Drosophila melanogaster: one gene and its partners. Changing the gene in region 1 together with any one later gene gives a genetic interaction. Each region holds a gene or a part of one and is shown in the gene's direction. Other genes may lie near its edges.

The links.
Region 2: of Dys (region 1) and robo1, changing one suppresses a phenotype caused by changing the other (phenotypic suppression), as found in Drosophila melanogaster (2 studies listed by BioGRID).
Region 3: of Dys (region 1) and fra, changing one suppresses a phenotype caused by changing the other (phenotypic suppression), as found in Drosophila melanogaster (one study listed by BioGRID).
Region 4: of Dys (region 1) and capt, changing one enhances a phenotype caused by changing the other (phenotypic enhancement), as found in Drosophila melanogaster (one study listed by BioGRID).

What each region holds. Positions count from the first base shown.
Region 1 is NT_033777.3:19,461,725-19,466,556, forward strand, and holds the start of Dys (dystrophin), read left to right. Parts: upstream 1-1,808; 5' UTR 1,809-1,915; exon of another isoform or gene 1,916-1,957; intron 1,958-2,775; 5' UTR 2,776-3,100; coding exon 3,101-3,122; intron 3,123-4,832. Other genes in the region: Scsalpha2 (Succinyl-coenzyme A synthetase alpha subunit 2), read right to left, coding at 212-1,240.
Region 2 is NT_033778.4:22,697,948-22,702,664, reverse strand, and holds the start of robo1 (roundabout 1), read left to right. Parts: upstream 1-1,694; 5' UTR 1,695-1,787; intron 1,788-2,069; exon of another isoform or gene 2,070-2,468; intron 2,469-2,630; 5' UTR 2,631-2,712; coding exon 2,713-2,863; intron 2,864-2,930; coding exon 2,931-3,052; intron 3,053-3,288; coding exon 3,289-3,469; intron 3,470-3,580; coding exon 3,581-3,699; intron 3,700-3,759; coding exon 3,760-4,213; intron 4,214-4,273; coding exon 4,274-4,717. Other genes in the region: CG30259 (uncharacterized protein), read left to right, coding at 161-739, 796-1,221.
Region 3 is NT_033778.4:12,527,428-12,532,058, forward strand, and holds the start of fra (frazzled), read left to right. Parts: upstream 1-1,625; 5' UTR 1,626-2,299; coding exon 2,300-2,399; intron 2,400-4,631.
Region 4 is NT_033779.5:1,151,178-1,158,267, reverse strand, and holds capt (capulet), read left to right. Parts: upstream 1-1,956; 5' UTR 1,957-2,299; coding exon 2,300-2,522; intron 2,523-3,214; coding exon 3,215-3,716; intron 3,717-3,861; coding exon 3,862-3,986; intron 3,987-4,536; coding exon 4,537-4,882; intron 4,883-4,949; coding exon 4,950-5,497; intron 5,498-5,567; coding exon 5,568-6,091; intron 6,092-6,152; coding exon 6,153-6,236; 3' UTR 6,237-6,590; downstream 6,591-7,090. Other genes in the region: Vps29 (vacuolar protein sorting 29), read right to left, coding at 6,857-7,090.

The sequences.
Region 1 (4,832 bases):
ACCAAGAAGGTTTTATCAAAACACTACTTAAACATTACTTAAATATTAAAAAAATATATTTTTTCTGTTTGTTATGTGTTTAGATATAATCCCATTGAACTTCTTCATCAATTTTATAATTTAGACTTCGAAAAAAAAATAAAAGAGATATTTTAGCAATTTAAAGAGCACTAAGTTAGTTTATTGGCATCAATAACTTGTTCCGCCACTCCTACTTCTTCCCGGCCTGAGCCTTCTTTTTGTTCGGCTTGGGCACCAGTTTCAGGCGGATCATTTCCTCGAGGAGCGTGGAGCCCAGGTGGCAGGGATTGGCGGTCATACGGACTCCCGCTTTCTCCAGGGCGGCCACCTTGTCCTTGGCCGCTCCCTTGCCACCGGAAATGATGGCGCCGGCGTGACCCATTCGACGACCCGGTGGAGCAGTCTGTCCAGCAATGAAGCCAACTACTGGCTTGGCCTCGCAGCCAGTGTTCTTCTCCTTAAGGAAATCGGCAGCCTCTTCCTCGGCGGATCCGCCAATCTCTCCAATCATGACAATGCCCTTGATCTCCTTGTCGGACAGAAACACTTTGAGGGCGTCTATGAAGCTAGTTCCGTTAAAGGGATCCCCGCCGAGGCCAACGCAAAGAGCCTGACCCAATCCCACGTTGGTGGTCTGATGGACGGACTCGTAGGTCAGGGTTCCCGACCGCGAGACTATGCCCACCACTCCTCGCTTGTGGATATCTCCCGGCATTATTCCGATTTTGCACTGATCCGGCGAGATGATTCCCGGACAGTTGGGTCCCAGCAGGCGGGACTTCTCCTGGCAATTCAGCATTTGCGATATCCGCACCATATCCGCCTGGGGAATACCCTCGGTGATGGCCACAATCAAGCCAATTTCACTCTCGATAGCCGCGCAAATACCCTCGGCGGCGGATGGAGGTGGTATAAAGATCACCGTGGCATCTGGCTTCGCCTTCTCCACAGCTTCTGCCACCGATTTGAATACGGGCTTGCCCAGATGCTCCGTACCTCCCTTTTTGGGATTCACACCGCCAACTATATTGGTTCCGTACTTTATGGACTCCTCCGAGTGGAAAGTGGCCTGCTTGCCGGTGAATCCCTGGACTAGAACCTTTGTTGCCTTGTTGATCTTCAGGTTGCACACCGTCTTGCCATAGTCCGCCTTGCCACGCCTCAAAATTTGGGGCGTTAACGCCCGCAGGAGCATCTTGCTTCCTCGATTTAGTGACATTTTGTGGGAATTAAGTCTTGGATTGCTGGTGGATTTGTTTTTGGGCCAAAAAATTAAACTTTTGGGGCCTGATTTAGAATGGAGTTCTTACCAAAACTGTTGACCGAATGTCAGGTTTCAACAGTCAAATTATCAGGGAGGTTTGGAAAAAGGCCTGCTGTGTTCTTAACAAATCCTTTTCTGGTAATTTACGTACATGCATGTTTAAGTGCATTTTCTTTTATACAACATTGAGGTCCTATAACTCCTAAACCTTGCTTTGTAACTTCATGTTATTAAATTTAAAGAGTTATTATCTGTTATAATATAAATTTGATAGTAACTTGTTAAAGTAAAAATGAAAACAAATTATCTACCCCACTGTGCCTGCGCTCAGCCCTTCAATTAATTCCGATTCGATTTTAATTGAAATCCAATAGAAACTCCTCTTTTATCTCGCTCTCACTCTCTGAGCGCGCGAAACAGCTGAACTGAAACGCCCGCTTTGGCCAGTTGGGCTGCAACCCGTTCCAATAAGATCATCGTTCAAAGAGAGCGAACAAGAATAGCTACGTTACGATCGCGTTTCAGATCGCTTTCTGACTTCGAAGCGTAAAGACTTAAAACGCGTCGGATAAACACCATGATGTTACTGGTTTTTTTCTGCGCGCCGTCGTTGTGAGCCGAGAAGAAAAAGTAACAAAAGAAGCAGCGCAGGAAAATCAAAATTGGCTGCAAGTGCGTGTCCCGAAAGTTTAATAACCAAGAAAAGTTTGTAAATTGAAAAAGGCACTTAAAGTGGTTACCTAAAATGAAAAGATAATGGGAAAGAGCAAAAAAAAAAGCTGACGCAAGTTCAAGGTGTAGAATTTGTGCGCGTGTGTGAGTGTGCCACAAGTTGTTTGAGCAAAAGTGGAGAAATAATATAAATTCCGAAGGAATTTCAACAGCAAGTGCTTGAAATCGCAATTGGTGTGCCAAACTTAAGGTTTTGCCTTGTCTTTAATCGAGTTTTTAGAGGTTTTAACTCTTTTTTTCCAACAAACACACACATTCACGCATTCTTGATTCTTTGACTCACAAATTACCCACGATAGCAACAACAAAAGTGTTGTCTGTTCCAATAGCCACACGTTCCATTTCTGGTTTTCGCTTTTAATGCCGCACTGTTTCGGACGTTTCCAGCGTTCCTCGTTAACCGGTGTTTGCTTTTTGATGAGCGTGAGAGCGGGGAAAGATAAAAAGAGAGAGAGAGAGACTAAGAAATTGATAAAGAAAATGGAAAAAAGTAAATAAAACAATCAAATTGGTAAACAACGCTGCTTGTTAAAATTAAAAATGGCAGGCAAACACAAAAACTCATTAAAAGCAGAGGAAAACCTAACGGTAGTTTCCTGACTCCCGCTCACTTCCTCTCTCTCGCTCATTCTCTTTGCCGTTGCGCATGCGCAAAACATATTTGTTTCTTGGTGGGAAAGTCAACACAAAGTCTAATAAGAAAACAAACATCACAGGTGTCACCTTTAATATTCGACATTCTGCAATTGTGATTTTAGGTCTTTGTAGAATTCTTGGCACACCTTCGATTTCTGGAAATTAACGCGAAATATTACGAAACGAAGCGGTAAACAAAACCAAATGGTGCGAAAGTGGTAAAAAAAAACGAAATGCGGCGATATCAGTTGTCTTACCACGAAGCATACATATCAATCAAACCGAAATAAATAACCCGAATTGTGTCCATGTGATTCAACGATTTTGTAATTCAATTCGATACGATACGACCTTGAAAAGCATAGGTTTTTATGTTGGTGATTTTAAATTTTATCGAAACGAAATCAATTCGCTACTGGGATTAAGCGAATCAAGGATTATACGACTATGGAACCCGGAATTTTAATTGGTAAGATTGTAGATCTTTATATGGGTTTTTAAAGAGAAAATCATTACTGACTTCAAGGCAGATGTTAAAATACAAGATGAGATAAGTCATATTTCTTGTTTGGAAAATCATTAAAAATTCGATCCAATAACAGATAAATCAATTTATATATACAATTTAATGTATGTAGTGTTCTTTCTCTTAAGTTTATTGGTAAATATTCTTAAAAATATTTTGCTTAGTTTGCTTTGTAGCATAAAATTAAGTCAAAAAGTCGTTCAAAAAGTATTCTGTATGCATTTATTCCCACACATGTTCGGAGCTAATTACAGAAAAAATCCACAGATCATCCAACTGCACTCCCTTCTCAAAACTTAACCCCATTGGGGGAAGAGCAATTATTTCGAGGGCTCAGAACTCGTGCCCCCATTTCACATATCTGAAATAATTTCCATGCTTTCTTCGCTCGCAGAAGCGACTTTAAAAACGGAGACAAACAGACGACCACATGTTGCTTGTAGTCACAGAAACATATGCAATCACTGGGAGAAATTTTTCTAATCTACAGAATATTAAAAAGTGTTAAAGAAAAGAAAATAATTATAATTAGAAAGTAAGTAAAGAAGATGAAAAATACATTTGCAATTGAGAAATTAAGCTAGTCAGACAATTTTTCGAAGCCACATTGTATCTCAAGAACAAAGCGATTTAAATTTCAAATCCTAATATAAATCGAACTGAGCTAATTTTTTCGCCCAGTGTCCTGGAACAACAAAGTGATGGCACACACCCCATTCAGAACCACAGATACAGATACATCGCTTTAACTCATTTGGTTAAGCATTTAATGATCGGGCAAATGCAGAGTCGGCCGAGTTCTGAGGGGACAGCTGGAAAATGCGAGTGAGGAGCAGAGGGTGTGGCCTGGTCTGTAGACGGCGGTTGCTAACGCTCCCAAGCCGAATGCTCTGCGTAACCCGCGCTCAGCTAATGAGCACCCAACCGCTGTGGAGGGGGGTTGGGTGGAAAATCGGGGGAGCGGGCTGCGAACGGGTGTAATTGAGACTCGGTTTAGACACCGAACCGCACCAATTTGTGCGAGAAATCTAATATGTGCGGGTTTCCATAAAACCCGGCGGCGAAAATGCCGAGGGTATATTGTATTTCTTATAAATATTAATAATATGAGTTTTAAAATTTGTAGACTTACAAAAACTTCAACGCAAATAAACGATCATTCGATTTTTATAAATAATATATAACTATTTCGACAATCTGTAGTTGATAAACCCCAAGCAAGGGTTTCGAATAAAATTGCTAAGTATTCTATTTCGTTTTTAGATTAAATGTAAAGTATTCAACAGTTTTCGAATTCCAAATTCGGGCTTGGATGGCATTAGGCGTATCCATGAGTGTCGCTGGTTTGTCTGCGGCTTAAAACCGGCAAAGCCACCAGTTCGGATCGAAATCCGCTCGACCAGCTGGGCTTGGAATGCGACAAAATGCGCATTTGCATTTGGCCACATGTGTCGGTTTTATTTGATATGTTTTTGTATTTGAGCTTAGTGGGATCTGGAGCACACATTACCAATACCAGTGCAGCCGGTCTTTTCAAGTAACACGGACACGGAGTCAAAAATGCGCACGCCCGTAAAAAATTACTCCAACTACAGCTCGCAATTTGTTATTCCCGCTATTTTGCTCTTTTTTTTTTTGGCTAATGGGTTTCCA
Region 2 (4,717 bases), on another chromosome or scaffold:
GAATGGCATCCAAATTACAGAGTGACTGACGCACAATGAACCAAGACACATATCAATCTTAATTTTACAATTGCGTGCAATGCTCTTCGATGATTATATTTTACAATAAAGGTTATTTTAAAAGTTTATGAAAACATGTTAAATTGAACCCCACTTCCAGATGCAACTACAGCTGGAGCAGATCACCTCCAGAGGTGAAGCTCGATTGGAGAAGCTGTGGCAGGAGTATCAGGGTGTTCTGGCGGGCTACTGTCAGCACATCGAAGGCTTTTACTCGGAGTACGTGGATCTGAAGCAGCGGGATGAGGAGGCAGCCCTCCAGATTAGCCAGCAGACCCACGAAATCGAGCACCTGGTAGACCAGCTGACCAATTTGCGTCTGGTCTCCGAGGAGTTCTACATCAAGCAACAGGGCCAACTGGAGCAGCGGCAAGCCATCAAACAGCAGTTGACCGAGCGACTAAGGGAGCTACGCACCTGTGTGGAACAGGAGGTGGCCAGGGATCACCAGTTGTTCAAGCTGATGTCCGTGGAGAGCTACCATGCCTTGGAATTCCTCCAGGAAACTGTGGCCAAGGGCGAGACTCTGGCACAGTTGTCTGCGGTCTGTGCCAAGATGGAAACCCAGCGGGAGCGGATGTTCCAGTTGCCGGAAATATCCAAGGAGATTATCGAGATTCGAGATATAGAGGATCAGGGTAATGGTTCCTTGACTGACCCAGCCACTGATCTTCTTAAGGTGAGTAAAAATGCCAGTAGGTAATTTCTTCATTCAACATTGGTTTAACGTACCAGGACGAGGTGGCAGTGGTACCCCAAATGGAGTCCTTCTGGCGACGCGTCAACAACGTGGCCGTGGACGTGGCCTGCCTGAAGCAACAGAAGCGTCGCCTGGAGGCGGAGAACAGCCAGCTAAAGACGCAGCTGCAGGACTACCTGGTAAATTTGAACATTGCCAATGGCTCCAATAGCCACGTCCATAGCTATCTAGCCCGGCGGCCCAAGAGCATGTCCGTGGACAGAGTGTCGCGCCTGCAGCTCCAGCCCAAGCTGGTGAAGAGTGCCCAGCCGACTGGTCGTCGCCCAGCGGCGCCCACACCTCCCACTTTCCACTTGCATCCAGGACGCAGCCGAGCGCCTGCCTTCGAAGCCAACCTCTCCAACGTGGTTCTTTCGAGGACTTTGGCTAGGGGAAAGATGAACCTGGCCAGAATGGAATAATTTGCTAGACTCTGTAGTTATTTGATTAATGCAGGGAAACTATATTAAACAAAACACCTTAAATTGGTGTAGGAACTATTCTCTACCATAACAATTATCTATATATTTTTATAGTATTTTACAGTTGGTTCTACCGTGAACATGAATATTAATATATACGTATTTAAGCAATCACACACAAATTATATAGATATTCTGAATAAAACGGAATTTTTTAATAAACCATTCAACATCACAATACATACATTAATTTAAATATTTACATTTTATTAATATCTTAAAACATAGTTGGTATATCTTTCGATTTCAATTTCAATACAATAGAAATCAATTAAAGATTCAAATAGTTACTTTACGCGGCGCTACCAGATCAACTGATAAATATGTCCTCTGGTATTTTCGAGTATTCCTTTTCGGTACACCCCAAAATATATCGATATATCGATTCCGGGCGTTGCGCTCTCAAATTTCCACAGACACGACCCACGTCCAATTGTGAGTTTTCGCTGCGCCGTGAATCGCACTAAAGAGCAGGAAAATAGTTAATTTCCAACAGTTAAATTGGAGTAAGTTTGCACCCAAGAAAGTACGATCCAACCGCGAAGCTTCCATTTGAAGTAGATACTCGTTTTCGGATATTACAAAGTGCAGCTGCTGCGGATGTAAAGCAAATATTACAAGGAGTTATAGATACAACACTCTGTTATAGATATAGATACAACAACAACGGGGGGAAGTCCCAGGAACGGCAGGCGGTGCGAGCGAGAGGCAGCTAGAACGGCAGTGTGTGCGAGTGAGAGGGGTGGCGGGGCAGTTCTTGTTCTTGTAATTTTACCAAAAAGAAATTTCGTTCGGGAAATGTGGAAAATGTGCGCGAGGAGAGATGATGGAGAAAACAACCCCGAAAAGCGAGCAATCGTCGAATAAATACCAACAAAAACTTACACTGCGCGGCTGATTAATAAAATCCAAAAAATAAAAAGGAAAATAAAAACCAAATCAGCGAACGATACAAAAAAAGCGTTAGAAAGAAAGTGTGAGAACGTGAAATCAAAACTCCGAATCAGAATTTGGATTGTAAATTTTCGGGTCGGTGCGACTGAGACTGAGCGATAAACACAAAGGCAGATAAATACGGAAATAAAATTAATGGAAAACCAGCATAGACACATGTGTGTGGGTGTGTGAGTGTCCAAGTGTGCGTGAGTGTGTGCGTGTGTGTGTGCTTATCGCATGGAAATGCAAGCGTAAGTGGAGCAGGCGAGAAATAATTTCGAGTTTTTGGACAGATAAAAAGCAAAAAGCAAGTAAAGCCCATAAATGCCTAGCCATAATGCCGCCACGCCTACATATGTAACAGCTGCCCACATTTAGTTAACCCACATACTATCACCTATCATGCATCGCAGGACCCAAAAACAACGCCAAAATGATCGCCGCTGCATTGGGTCATCTGTAGAGTCGTCATTGCAACAGCACCAACACCATAAAATGCATCCCATGCATCCCGAAAACCACGCCATCGCCCGGAGCACGAGCACCACTAATAACCCATCTCGCAGTCGGAGCAGCAGGATGTGGCTCCTGCCCGCCTGGCTGCTCCTCGTCCTGGTGGCCAGCAATGGCCTGCCAGCAGTCAGAGGTAAACCCATCCTGGGTAATCCTCCCCAGGCCCAGTGGCTAATCCACATCCTTCCTACTCCTTTCAGGCCAGTACCAATCGCCACGTATCATCGAGCATCCCACGGATCTGGTCGTTAAGAAGAATGAACCCGCCACGCTCAACTGCAAAGTGGAGGGCAAGCCGGAACCCACCATTGAGTGGTTTAAGGTACCCACCAAATAATACTTTTCTAACTTGAATCACCATTACACTGGCAAAAGAAAACTTGATCTTAATGTTTTCATATCAATATTGTATATTTATTTATCTTTAAATATCAAAACAAAAATGAATTCAAAAATTATACAAAATATAAGTGGTTTTGAGTAGTTGTTTTTTTCCGTGTAGCCTTCGAAACCGAACCAAATCGTAACTCAATCACCCCCTCTTCTTTCCGCTCTCAGGATGGCGAACCCGTCAGCACCAACGAAAAGAAATCGCACCGCGTCCAGTTCAAGGACGGCGCCCTCTTCTTCTACAGGACAATGCAGGGCAAGAAGGAACAGGACGGCGGAGAGTACTGGTGCGTGGCCAAGAACCGAGTGGGCCAGGCCGTTAGTCGCCATGCCTCGCTCCAGATAGCTGGTAAGTTAGTCCGCCACTCTAGTCTGCTCTCCAACTTGTCTGCCCACACGCCCAGCTTTGTCTCCGATTATAATGTGCTTTTTTGATATTTTTGCAATTTTTCTTCGCTAGTTTTGCGCGACGATTTTCGCGTGGAGCCCAAAGACACGCGAGTGGCCAAAGGCGAGACGGCTCTGCTGGAGTGTGGGCCGCCCAAAGGCATTCCAGAGCCAACGCTGATTTGGATAAAGGTGGGTTCCGAAAACCAGACTGCGAAAGTCAGTTGTCTAAACCGCTTTTTGTGCTCTTAGGACGGCGTTCCCTTGGACGACCTGAAAGCCATGTCGTTTGGCGCCAGCTCCCGCGTTCGAATTGTGGACGGTGGCAACCTGCTGATCAGCAATGTGGAGCCCATTGATGAGGGCAACTACAAGTGCATTGCCCAGAATCTGGTAGGCACCCGCGAGAGCAGCTATGCCAAGCTGATTGTCCAGGTCAAACCATACTTTATGAAGGAGCCCAAGGATCAGGTGATGCTCTACGGCCAGACAGCCACTTTCCACTGCTCAGTGGGCGGTGATCCGCCGCCGAAAGTGTTGTGGAAAAAGGAGGAGGGCAATATTCCGGTGTCCAGAGCGCGAATCCTTCACGACGAGAAAAGTTTAGAGATATCCAACATAACGCCCACCGATGAGGGCACCTATGTCTGCGAGGCACACAACAATGTCGGTCAGATCAGCGCTAGGGCTTCTCTTATAGTCCATGGTAAGATTAAGTTCCATTACCAAAGAATCGCGTTTTAATCTTCAATTGTTTTCATTAAAGCTCCGCCGAACTTTACGAAAAGACCCAGTAACAAGAAAGTGGGACTAAATGGTGTTGTCCAACTACCTTGCATGGCCTCCGGAAACCCACCGCCATCTGTTTTCTGGACCAAGGAAGGAGTATCCACTCTCATGTTCCCAAATAGTTCGCACGGGAGGCAGCATGTGGCTGCCGATGGAACTCTGCAGATTACGGATGTGCGGCAGGAAGACGAAGGCTACTATGTGTGTTCCGCTTTCAGTGTAGTCGATTCCTCTACAGTACGGGTTTTCCTGCAAGTCAGCTCGTTAGACGAGCGTCCACCTCCGATTATTCAAATCGGACCTGCCAATCAAACACTGCCCAAGGGATCAGTTGCTACTTTACCCTGTCGGGCCACCGGAAATCCCAGTCCCCGTATTAAGTGGTTCCACGATGGACATGCCGTACAAGCGGGCAATCGAT
Region 3 (4,631 bases), on another chromosome or scaffold:
AAATATTCTGAACTTCCTAATGGCTCTGGATTTAAAATCTTTGCCTTTATTAGTTCTACCCAAGTTAACAACTTTCTTAGGAAGCGATTTGCAGTGAAAGTCTTTAGTGCCATGAACAATGGATTTGCCAAGTTAAACGAGAGAACCTTTTATATATTTAAGCAATTTCCATGTCCGAAGTGCATGCCTTAATTTATATATTACCACACACAGGCTTAATTCACTTAAGCGCCTTTTCGTGTCGGCACCTAAAAGCTTTGAATGGGAAGAACATCCGAATCAGAATCCAAATCACCATCAGTCGCCGCGTTTTGTGGGTGCCCAGAAGTTGCCCAACTTCAAGCTGGCATAACAGATACAGGGATGCGGATGCACATACAGATACGGATACTCGAAAGACTCGGTAGCTCGGATTAATTAAAACTGAAAATTGCAGTGGCGTCTGGTGGGGAAATGTGTGTGCTGCTTTTAAAAAACCTGCAATTAGCAGCGAAAAATCTCCGGTTCTGGTAATTTGATCCAAGTCCTCGAAACTTGACCCACATTTTGTGGGCATACGGATGATACGCTAATGAAGGGAATTTCATTTCACTTATTTTTGCGGCCTGCCAGTCCAAAAAAAAATGCCTCCCCCTTCTTTTTCACCCCGTCGTTTATTTTTACGACGCTTTCGCTTAAGCGCTGGCATTTAATGTGAAATTTATCATTTCAACGCCACGCCCCCCACCCCACGCCCAACCAACAATTTGTCGGCCTTGGTCGGATTTTTTATTGCGTTCACATTTCTCCGAGGCGAAAAGTGATATGTTCATTTTTTCAGCCTTTAAAGTTCCTGCTGGTTGCTGGTCGGCGCTTTTAAAATGAGTGTTCCTTTGCCACATGCATTTTTTTAGAGCCACAACTTTTAACCACAACCTGTCTGCACGTCGGTTGCTCGGGGGTGGCAATCACTGGCCAACTGCAAAAAATGCATTTCAAACAGGAGATTTTCCCATTGGTTTGAGCATAAAGTTTTCTGTCAAAGGATTTTTCTGAAATAACGTACTTATGAACAAGATCAGTCGGGGAGAAAGTTGAGGTACATTTCGAAAGCCATTAAAATTTTTAAGTATTAATCTCCTGTGACTCTCATAAAAAGAAATTTGTGTAAAGTAAAACCGAAAATATGTGAAATTTTAAAATATTTAAAAATATAGGAGCAAACCTTTTGAATACCGATATAAATTCATATGATTAATATCCCAACTGCAAATGTCCTCGAAATAATAATGTTTGTTGCTTTTGATGTGTAATTGACTTTGGTCCTAACTTTTGAATTACGCGCCATTTGGAATAAATTGCTCAACTGACCTTAACGCGTTTTTGGTGATGTGCACTCCAGTATCGATTGCTTTTCAATGTCGATGACAGTCATTAAAATATATTATGATTACGTTAGTAAGAAAGCTGAGCACTGATTACTACGTTACTTATGGAAACCCCTTTGTAAAATGATAATGAATTTATAATATGCAAGAATAACATGGTGCGAAAGTCATTTCATCGTCATCGATAGTAGTGAGACCATCGATAAGCATCGATAGCGGATGTGTTTTCGCATCACCCGCGCAGCTAGGGATTTTTTCGACAGTTTCGGATTTTTTTTCGGTCGTCGAGGTCGTTGCGCGCATGTATACTCTTTAGTGGCGAGAAAACGCGTTTGCCAATAGTAAAATCCATCGCAAAGAGGTAGAAAATTAAAATAAGTGCAGCCAAAATCGAAAATAAATGAAAAAGGCACTCAAATAATACATACAGCCGCTGAAAATGTGTTTTAAATAGAACTGCAGCTGCAAGTCCTGATGCCTGCCGAAGGTTAGAGCGAGACAACGCTACTTACTCGAGTGTGTGTGCGCAATTTGTTGATAGTATTTTCTGTTGTTGTAAAAATGCCCCGCTTGCAAGCGTGCAATAACAGCAACAACAAGACCTGAAACAACAACAATAGGCGGCGAATGCCGGCAAAACAAAAACGCGTAAACGATTGATGCGAATAGCGTAAAACAAGAGAATCGAAAGCAATAATCGCCCAAGAATACACAACAAAAGTGGAGTGAGTAAAAGTCGCGTGTGAGTGTTTGCGTCGCGTGTATGTGTGGGTGCAAAGGATACAAATAGAAGGCGCAATCGGCGATTGGCGGGTATCAAGAGCCAAAATGTTGTAAACAAATCGCAAAAGTCCAAATAAACCTGAGCCATTCGAATTACCTCCGATCGCAAACGACGGTTTCCAGCCAAATCAGCGAAAAGCAAACAGAATATGGCCATCACAACAAACAGAAGCAGCAGGACTTTGTGGAACTGGCTGCTCAGCAGTTGTCTCATATTCCAGCTGATTGGCAGCAGTTTGGCAAGTCAAGGTGAGAACTTCAATCTGAAATGATAAATATTTTGCACCAAAGTGCCGTAAGAGGGCTTTATAAAAATGTAGATAGTTTCTATCTTTCGCTGTGCAGGTTGTCAATTTATAATTTTAAACCAAAGACCCATGAAATCCAAGCTTAGTTGCTTACACAGAAAGACATTATCAAATTGTGTACATATATAGATTATTAAAGAGATTATAAAAGATATAAAAAAAATTTTATGAACATGTGATTGAACTTTAATTCTTGGGCTGCGCCTTAATTGCCTTCTGACAGGAGGAAATAATCTAAAACAGTGTATAAATTCGGTAGATTAGATGAGTTTATATCACTTCAATAAATATTACGATTAAATAGTACGAATAGATGAACTACGTGGTTTGTCAGCCCAGTAATTTTTAGTTCACTACACTCATCCACCATATTTTATGACACTATCTGTTACTTTACTCTTCGTACAATTCCCTATCTATGTTGTGTATTCGGGTACCATAAAGTTCGATATCTGTATTTTAACAAATATGAATGCAAGTACAGTTTTGGCGACTGGATGTCTGGTCGACGTGCCAGAAAGCAGGCATTGGGACCCACAAAAAAAAAAAAGCCTCATGTGCGAAAGGTGATGTCAACGGCGAACTGATCCGATAAGCTGTCATATTTCGCAACTCGCGCTCTTTTTGCACTCGTAAAATTGAGGTACTTTCAAAAACCCTGCCCTATTCCATCCACATGTGCCAATCACCCGGGGTAATTCACCGTAATTGCTTCCCATCATATCACCTGCAGATAAGAACTCAAAATGGGATGGTTGCGAAACCGATAGTGCTTCAAAACTTAAACATTACTAATGAGCTTCGCTTGAAACGAGATAAACTAAACACTGCACAACATGAATTGAAAACCAACGCACTTGTTTGCGATTATTTGAGCCAAAACAAACACGATTTCCTGTGAAAAAGTATTCTGAAATCGAAGAAATAGAATCCAACAAAATGGTAGCCGTAAGAGTCATTATCATTAGCTCAAAGCCAGGGAACAAGTGATCTTAGGGGATCAGGTAGGTAAGCGCAGGTAGAACCAGTGCAGCCCAAAATGCAATTAGGTTTTAGGATCAGGCACAGTTTCAGTTTTAGGTCCCAGAAGAAGATTACCCAAGATCGGTGGGCAGCTGCACAATGCATCAATTGATTGATTTGGTTTGAAAACTAAGCCAGGGGTGGCTTAGAGGCTTATCATATTTCCATTTTCGGCTGGAGAAATAAACAATCGCGTAAAATGAGGGAGGGATAATGGAAATCCCCGCAAAAGGCGCAAATAATGCAAACAAATTAAATGTCCTGCCGTGAATCTCGTCTCTGCGCCATCTTCGAAACGAGAAAGAAAAGCCACCCCTAAAAGTGAAAAGTGTCCTGGAAAAACGGGGAGCCGCCTTATCAGCTGCAAAATTTATCAACGCCAGCTCCAAGACAGCCCGAAAAAGGACCCCAAAAAAAGTGCGGTCGTAAAAAATTGTCGGGGCATGTCATATGCAAATGGAATGAAAAATCTTTGAACAAATTTTTAGGTCATGGCATGTCATAAGTCGCAGGACTTAATGCCAGATTTAATTAAAAGCATTCCCTCACATAACTTCAAGCTTTATGTGGTGGGTATGTAATTAAAAAAAAAAGAAAACAACTTTACTTACATGGGTGTAACTAGCTGAAAAGAATTGTGTGACAACAATGGACTCACGTGGCTTCACGACCACTTAGTACCGTATAATAATGCATCAATTAAGGTTGATAAGATACTATGAAAGTAAGACAAAGTTAGACATTTCCGTGTTAGTTAAATTAAATTATAGAAAAGCATTTTAATAATTTATTTTGATCTTTAGATCTATGTGGCCTTAAGACACCCTTGTGGTTTTTTCTATCTTGCTAAACAAACTAGTTGATTTTATAGAAGGATCCTACTTATACCGTGTACGAAAAACTCACGTGCGAGGTCCTGTTCCCATTTTCGTGCTTATTTGTGGCGCTCTGTGTTTTCACTTTCCTGGTCATATTTCCTCGCTCTTTAGCCCGTGAATTGTGGCAATTGTTTGATGTTGTCCTGGGCGAGTCGCCTCACCCTGGCGTTCACTGGCTTTTTCCCGTGGCCAGGAGCACATTTAGCCGCATTACGTGATACAATATATGAGTGACATGTTATTCTAATTTCGCACCCCTTTTCATATTCCTG
Region 4 (7,090 bases), on another chromosome or scaffold:
TTTAGTATTCTGCCACCCACATAAGGGTTAACTCGCTTGACTATTTCCACGAATGTACGCCTGGTCCCACCAAAGGCCACGCCAAGTTATTATTTTCGCCATTTCGCCGGTGTTCGCTACGCAGCTTCTCGTCAGTTCTAATTGGAATACAACTGCAGATCCTTGCAAATTCATCAGCAGCAAAAGAAGGTGAGTAACGCCTGATTGTTGCTAAAAACGTTCATTTAAACGGGGCTTTGCTATTATTCGCAAATTCTCTTCTCCCGTTCGCCGGCTGAAAGTGTCTGCGGAATTAACGGTTATTGGTGAGGGGTGGGTGGTGCTGTCACGAATTTGAGCGTGTGTGTGTGATGCAGGCTGTGGGTGTTTGTACACACACAACAACAACAACAGCGAAGAGAGCCAAAAAGACAAGAGACAGCTGTGTGATGGCTATTTTTGTGTGATTCATGTTGCTTGTAAAATTAAATCTACATGGTGTATTTTTAACGATGATTTCATATCCGATTCCATGGCATAAAGACACAACTAATTCATTGCCAGCAAGTGTATGCAAATTAACCCTTAGCAGCTCCCATTGCGATTGTTAACCCCCGATAAAAAAAAGTAACTACTCAGCTGTTGTGGCCATTTTTTGTTTTTGTTTCGCTGACTCACAGACACATAGTTGATATGCATATGTATGTATGCATGTATGTAGTTTACGCAAGAGCAAACACGTTTGCTTGTATTCGTGCGCGAATGAGTCAAAAAGTTGGCCAAAACGCTTTTATCAGCGAATCGCGATTGAAAATCGGCAGATATTACCACTCACTCGATTTCGGTGGAAGAAAATAACACCTCGCCTTATAAGGTGGGCGATTTTTCTTCTACCATTACGAACACCCCCCACCCCTGGTAATTCGAGCTCACTCACACTCTCGCAGCGGGAATAACGGTTCCTCAGCTGCAGACATTTAATCTTGGTTTCTAGTTTTTCTTCCCCATTTCTTCTTTGCTTTCTGCACGCAACAAACGCATCTGCCGCAGAAAACGCATCAAGACTGCAAGGAGAACTAGTATCGCCAGGCGAAAGTTGAATCTCGGCTTACTTGTCCTCGGCGGCTTAGCCCCTCCCTCCAATCCAACGGCTACTGATGCATTTCCCACTCTAATTGCCAGCCATTTGTTTAAAGCTACTTAAAAACAAAAACAACGTTGCCGGTGCAATAAACCCATTGCACTAAGGCCAAAACAAAAACTGGCAAGCAAACGATATGGGAGTTTCAGTTACGTCGACGTTTTTATACTCTTCTGCGGCAGATTACTTCACAAAAAGCTGAACATTTTAAAACTGTTTTTATAGCCGGCTAAGATATGATCATTGCATCTCTCTACTCTCTATGGCTTACAAACGTTATGGTAATGCTCAAAATGGAATCATAGTTTCATTACCGATCATTCCTGGAAACTTTCCAAATAGTAAAGATAACTCGGTGTTGTCACAACTAATTGATAGGCGAACCCTGCCTTACAGGGCTGATAAAACTATGGGATCGCCGTGGTTTTCCCTCACTTAAGTCGCGCCACCCGTGGCGAGAAGGGTATCACGAAATCACAGTGGTGTCTGCGCAACTCTCTCGGAGAGTTTTCCATTTTCCGCCTGGACCGTAAGCTTTCTCTGCTGCAAAAGTGCAAGACATCGCCGGAGCTTGCACAAAATCCTGCATGTCAGGCCAAAAGCGGTTATTAATGAAACACATTTCATTGCCAGTCGGTGGCTGGCCCCAAATGGTCAAAAGCAGCGCGGAGTAGCCCAACAAGGCGGCGAAACTCAGCAGTTAACAGCGCGGAGCTCTCCTAACAGAGTCCTGTTGAGACCTTCGAGTTCGAGTTCGAAATCGAATCGAATCCCCGAGTGCGTGGGCGTGCGCTTCGTTTAGGGTGTGTTCTGTTCTCCGTGTGTAATCGCATTTGTGTGCCATTTGGTTCTGTGCTTGGTCGGCAGTCACTTGACCCAGTTGAAGGCGCGGACAACTCGGAGGACCTTATTAATGTGCCACTAAATTTGGGCCATACACTGAATATATGTACACAGTGAGCAAGGAGTGGCCACGTTCGTTGGAAACCCGTTGAGTGTCTTATATGGCTGCTGCTGTTACTGCTTCTACTGATTCGATTTGGTTTGGTGTGCCGTCAGTGTTGTGACCGCCGCTTGAGCTTCACGGGCATCCGCAGTCGAGCCACGGAACTTACATAATGTGCTTGATTCGTACCTAGAGTGTTGAGCACCGGAAAAGCCCAGCCACACGCCTGCAAAATGTTCTCCTGCTGCCGATCGAACCCCAAGGCGGGCAAGAAGGAGAAGGAAAAGCGGAACGCAGAGGAGGAGAACGGCGGACAGGTCACCGAAAAGGAGGAACCCCAGCTGAACGGCAAGCCAGGAACTCCGAAGGAGGAGCCAGAGCCTGTGAAACCAGAAAAGGAGCTCTTGGAAGCGCATAATCCCGAGGATGTGCCCACAAGCACCCAGCCAAACACTGGTACTGACGCAACGCTAAGTATTTACCCACCACCCCATCTATTCGCGTTCTCCGGCCTTCGAGCTCAACAGCTGTCTCGGCTTTTGTCTGCTCTCCGGAACGAAGGCCCCTATCCGGCCGGCTCTCACTCACTGCAATGCCACTGCAGCTGACCACCACTTCTGATCTTTCCTTTCATTTCAATCCGGGCACTTCAAGCTGCCTTGAGTGTCCTTTTCTATTTACTTATGAGTTGTCTTCACTGTGCTTTCTCTTCGGTTTATTTCTGTGAATTTTATACATATGAATATCAAGGAATTGCGCCGATTCTCAGTTGATTAATGAGGAATAGCTAATGACATTGCATACACACTTTTTGTTGAGCACTTAGATCGTGCTCATCCATCAAAGTGAACGTATAGTATATAGTAGTGACGAATATAGAAACTAAAATGAAGGTCAATAATTTAGACAGAAAATTCAAGATTCTATAGATTCTATAATAATAAGGTGAGCAGTAAAAACTAACTACTCAATCTGCCAGTGACCATGGTAAATGCTTTTAAATGCGATAAATAAACATAATGAAGACAGGAAGCGAGGTGAGCAGAGAGTGAAGTGAAGTAATCAACTTAAGTATCGGCGCTTTCCTTGATGATCGTCTTGGTAATTCGTCGCTTCATGTAGAGTAATCTTAAGCAACACTTCCACAGCCCAACCAACTCAGGCTGAAGCGGCTAGCAAATCATCACCAGCAAATCCAGCACTAGCACCCAAAGAACCGGAGCCACTGGCCCGCTCAACGCACTCTTCCACATCCACGGCACCACCTGCTTCGATGACCAGCGGCGACGCGGAGGAGGCGGACGAAGTGGTGGTGGTGGCGACGGTCACGCCGACCACACCGCCTCCTCAGCCGCCGCCCACCAAGAGCTGCCTGTCCAGGCACAACTCAACGCATCAGTCGATCAAGAAGAAGGTGAATATCAGCAACCGGGCGGAGATCATCGAGCCGGATCCACTGCCACTGCTCCTGCTGGCCAGCCAGAATCAGGGCTCCTTGCTGGACGACGACGAGGTGTTCTCCGACTCACTGCCGCCACCCAAGCGGGAGAGCATGTGTGCACCCTACATCGAGGGGGATGTCGTCTCGGAAACACTCTTCTTTGCCCACGGATTACCCTCGTGGTTCGACGACGAGCGCCTGAACGACATGTATGCTTACCCAAGATCCTGTTTTGGTTTCACGCCCAAAATATCCATATAGTTAAGCTGAAACCAGAACAGGTCGACCCCTGCATTCCCAGCCCCGCTTTGAATTGCCAGTACATCGTCTCCTCTGTCCTCGTTCCATGTCCAGCGGCTGCATCGAGCCCCCGGTCACGCCGGTGGGACGCGACGAGCTGGAGCTGAAGCGCCAGCGTCTCTACACGGAGCTCCTGCGGGCCGCCCATGCGGCTGTGGAGCATAGCGTGGCCGTGCGGGGTATGCGAGCTTCGATAGAGTCCGATTCTTTTGCTTTTTTTTTTCGATCTCAGCAGTTATTTAAGCGGATGCTTGACTTTCTGTGTTCTTTATGTGTTCGTTTTCGCTGTGAAGAAGTTTTGAGAGTCTAGCGATTCACGTAACTTCCTGATGGCCAATAAGTTCGCAAGTCAAGTGCTTCCGTTTAAAGGTTCAACTTAGTTCTTCTCTCTTATGATTTTTCGTTGTCTTGTGCCGTTTTTGCATGTGGATTATTACTTTCACTCGTTGGGATTAGCTCTTTTTGCATATTGAACTTTATAAGTATTAAGCGCACCAGTTCATCATCATACACAAGCTCGTGATGAGGTATTCCTCTCGAGACGCCTTAGTTTATATCGCCTTTTTTGTCAGGTATTGTGAGTGCACGATTCACTGGGGTTTATCACGCTGAAGCATCATCTCACTCAAGTTATTTTCTTTATAAAACTCAGTGTTATTTGAATAATTCGAGATAATTGCCAAAACGAACTAAACATTTGCCGTTCTCCTCCGCGTCATTTTGGTTCAGATAACGAGCCGGAAGCCAAGCCCTCGGCCGCCGTCGACCACTTGGAGAGCATTTGCGAGCGACTGGAGACCCTCGTCGACCGATTGGAACGGACTCTAACAGCGCCACAGCCGATAGAACTGCCCACGCCCACACTCCCGCCTCCGCCAGCCGAAGAAGAAGAAGCTCTTCCAGTTTTTGAAAAAGCAGAGACACCACCTCCACCTCCCTCGCCGCCCAGCAGCAACATGAGTGTCGCCGGATTCGAGGACATTGTGGCGGGTCCGCTGAGCCAATACCTAACTCTCTCCGCCAAAATTGGCGGCGATGTGGCGCAGCATGCGGAGCTCGTGAAGAGCGCCTTTGGGTGAGTCAGTCTGGATGAGTCATCTATGGTAAAAGTGTAATAATGCCATCGTTCAATTCCGCAACAGCTCCCAACTGCAGTACGTGACGCTGGCCACCCAGATCGCCCAGCCGGCGCAGCCCAAGCAGGCGGAGCTTCTGAAGCCGACCTCGACGCAGATCAGCGCCATCCAGGACTTCCGCGAGAAGCACCGCTCCTCGCCCTTCTTCAACCACCTGTCGGCCATCAGCGAAAGCATTCCCGCCTTGGGCTGGGTGTGCGTGGAGAAGACCCCGGGTCCCTATGTCAAGGAGATGAACGACGCCGGCCAGTTCTACACGAACCGCGTGCTCAAGGAGTGGAAGGAGAAGGATGTTACGCATGTGGAGTGGGCCCGCGCCTGGGTGCAGACGCTCACCGAACTGCAGGCCTACATCCGGCAGTACCACACCACGGGCTTGGTGTGGTCCGGCAAGGGAGCGGCCCCCGCCGGAGGTGCCCCGCCACCACCGCCACCCGGTGGTCTGCCCCCACCGCCGCCCATGCTGGATCTGAGTGCCCTCAAGCTGGATAGCGCCGGAGATGATCGCAGCGCCCTCTTCGCCCAGATCAACCAGGGTGCCGACATCACCAAGGGTGAGCAGCAACTGCAAAAATGGTTAAGTGCTCCTATAGTAAGAAAATGTATCTTTTGATAAACCCGCAGGCTTGAAGAAGGTCACTGGCGACATGCAGACCCATAAAAATCCATCTCTACGCACTGGACCGGCTCCGTTCAAATCGCCAGCCCAGTCGGGCGGCAGCAAGGCCGTTGCTGCTCCATCAGCTGCGCAAGCCAAGGCGCCCGTTTTCGAGCGCGACGGAAAGAAGTGGATCATCGAGTACCAGAAGAACAACACCGGGCTGTTGGTGGAGAACGCCGAGATGAACAACGTGGTGTATGTGTTCAAGTGTGAGGGATCCACTCTGACCGTCAAGGGCAAGGTGAACAACATCGTCTTCGACTCCTGCAAGAAGTGCTCCCTGCTGTTCGATTCCGTGGTGGCCTCCGTGGAGTTCGTCAACTGCCAGAGCGTGCAGATGCAGGTGCTCGGCTCGGTGCCGACGGTATCGATCGACAAGACCGACGGCTGCCAGATGTATCTGTCCAAGGACTCGCTGGGCGTGGAGATCGTCAACTCCAAGTCCTCGGAGATGAACATCCTGTTGCCCGACGACAGCGGCGATTATGTGAGTTCAAAAATTTGTCTCTTGTCTTCAGTCATTTATTTATTTTTTTTGTGATTTCCAGACCGAGTTGGCTTTACCGGAGCAGTATAAGACCACGATTGCCGGCAAGACCCTGAAGACTGTGTGCGTGGACAGCCTCGGCTAAGGCGGTTCTCCTCCTCGGGGATCCTGTTCGTTGCTTTTCCAACTGTCGTCAGCAGCAATCATAATTGTATTTAATCTAAGTGCAAAGTTTTCGTAATTCAAAGATTTTTAGATCAAACATTTCGTATTGATGATGTTGCCAAACATTGCTGTCCTGGCTCGTGGAAAGTATTTATATAATTTATTTCGATGGAAAAGCGATGGCCACAAACCGAACCCAATGTATTTATATCGAGAGTGTGTTGCAATGAGAAACTGAGCATGAAATCCGAACTTTTGAGCAGACTCTTTACTCGATCATCAGATGTAACTCCTTTTTATATTCTATTTAATAAAATTTAAACTTTTTTATCAGATTATTGTGGGAGTATCACAATTTCTGGGGGTGTTTTTCCTTACTTTGTAATCGTTTATTATTGCATTAAATCTAAAACTTCACTTTCGTCCGTTCGTACTTTTATTCTCTATTTAAACAAGGTGCTAGCATTTTTTATCAGATAAAAAAATGAGAACTTGATTTATTGCTACGTACATTTACAATTTCTTTAATGAAGCCGAGCTCAGAATGCAGGGGTCAAGGGTTGGATTGGAGGGGAATGGCTGGTGGCTAATACTAGGACCCTAGATCTTCTTGTACTCGATGCGCTCCACTTTGACCTCGTCGCCGATCAGTTGGTACACGTACGTGACCACCGTGGTGCTCTGAATGTCCATCAGCACGAACGAAGGCACCACATTGGTGTCCAGTGGGTTGAAGGCACCCGTGGCCGATCCCGGATTGATGTAGAATTTGTTGCCGTGCTCGTAGGCCTCGAACTTGTACGTGTGCCCCGTGATCAGGATGTCCACGTCCAG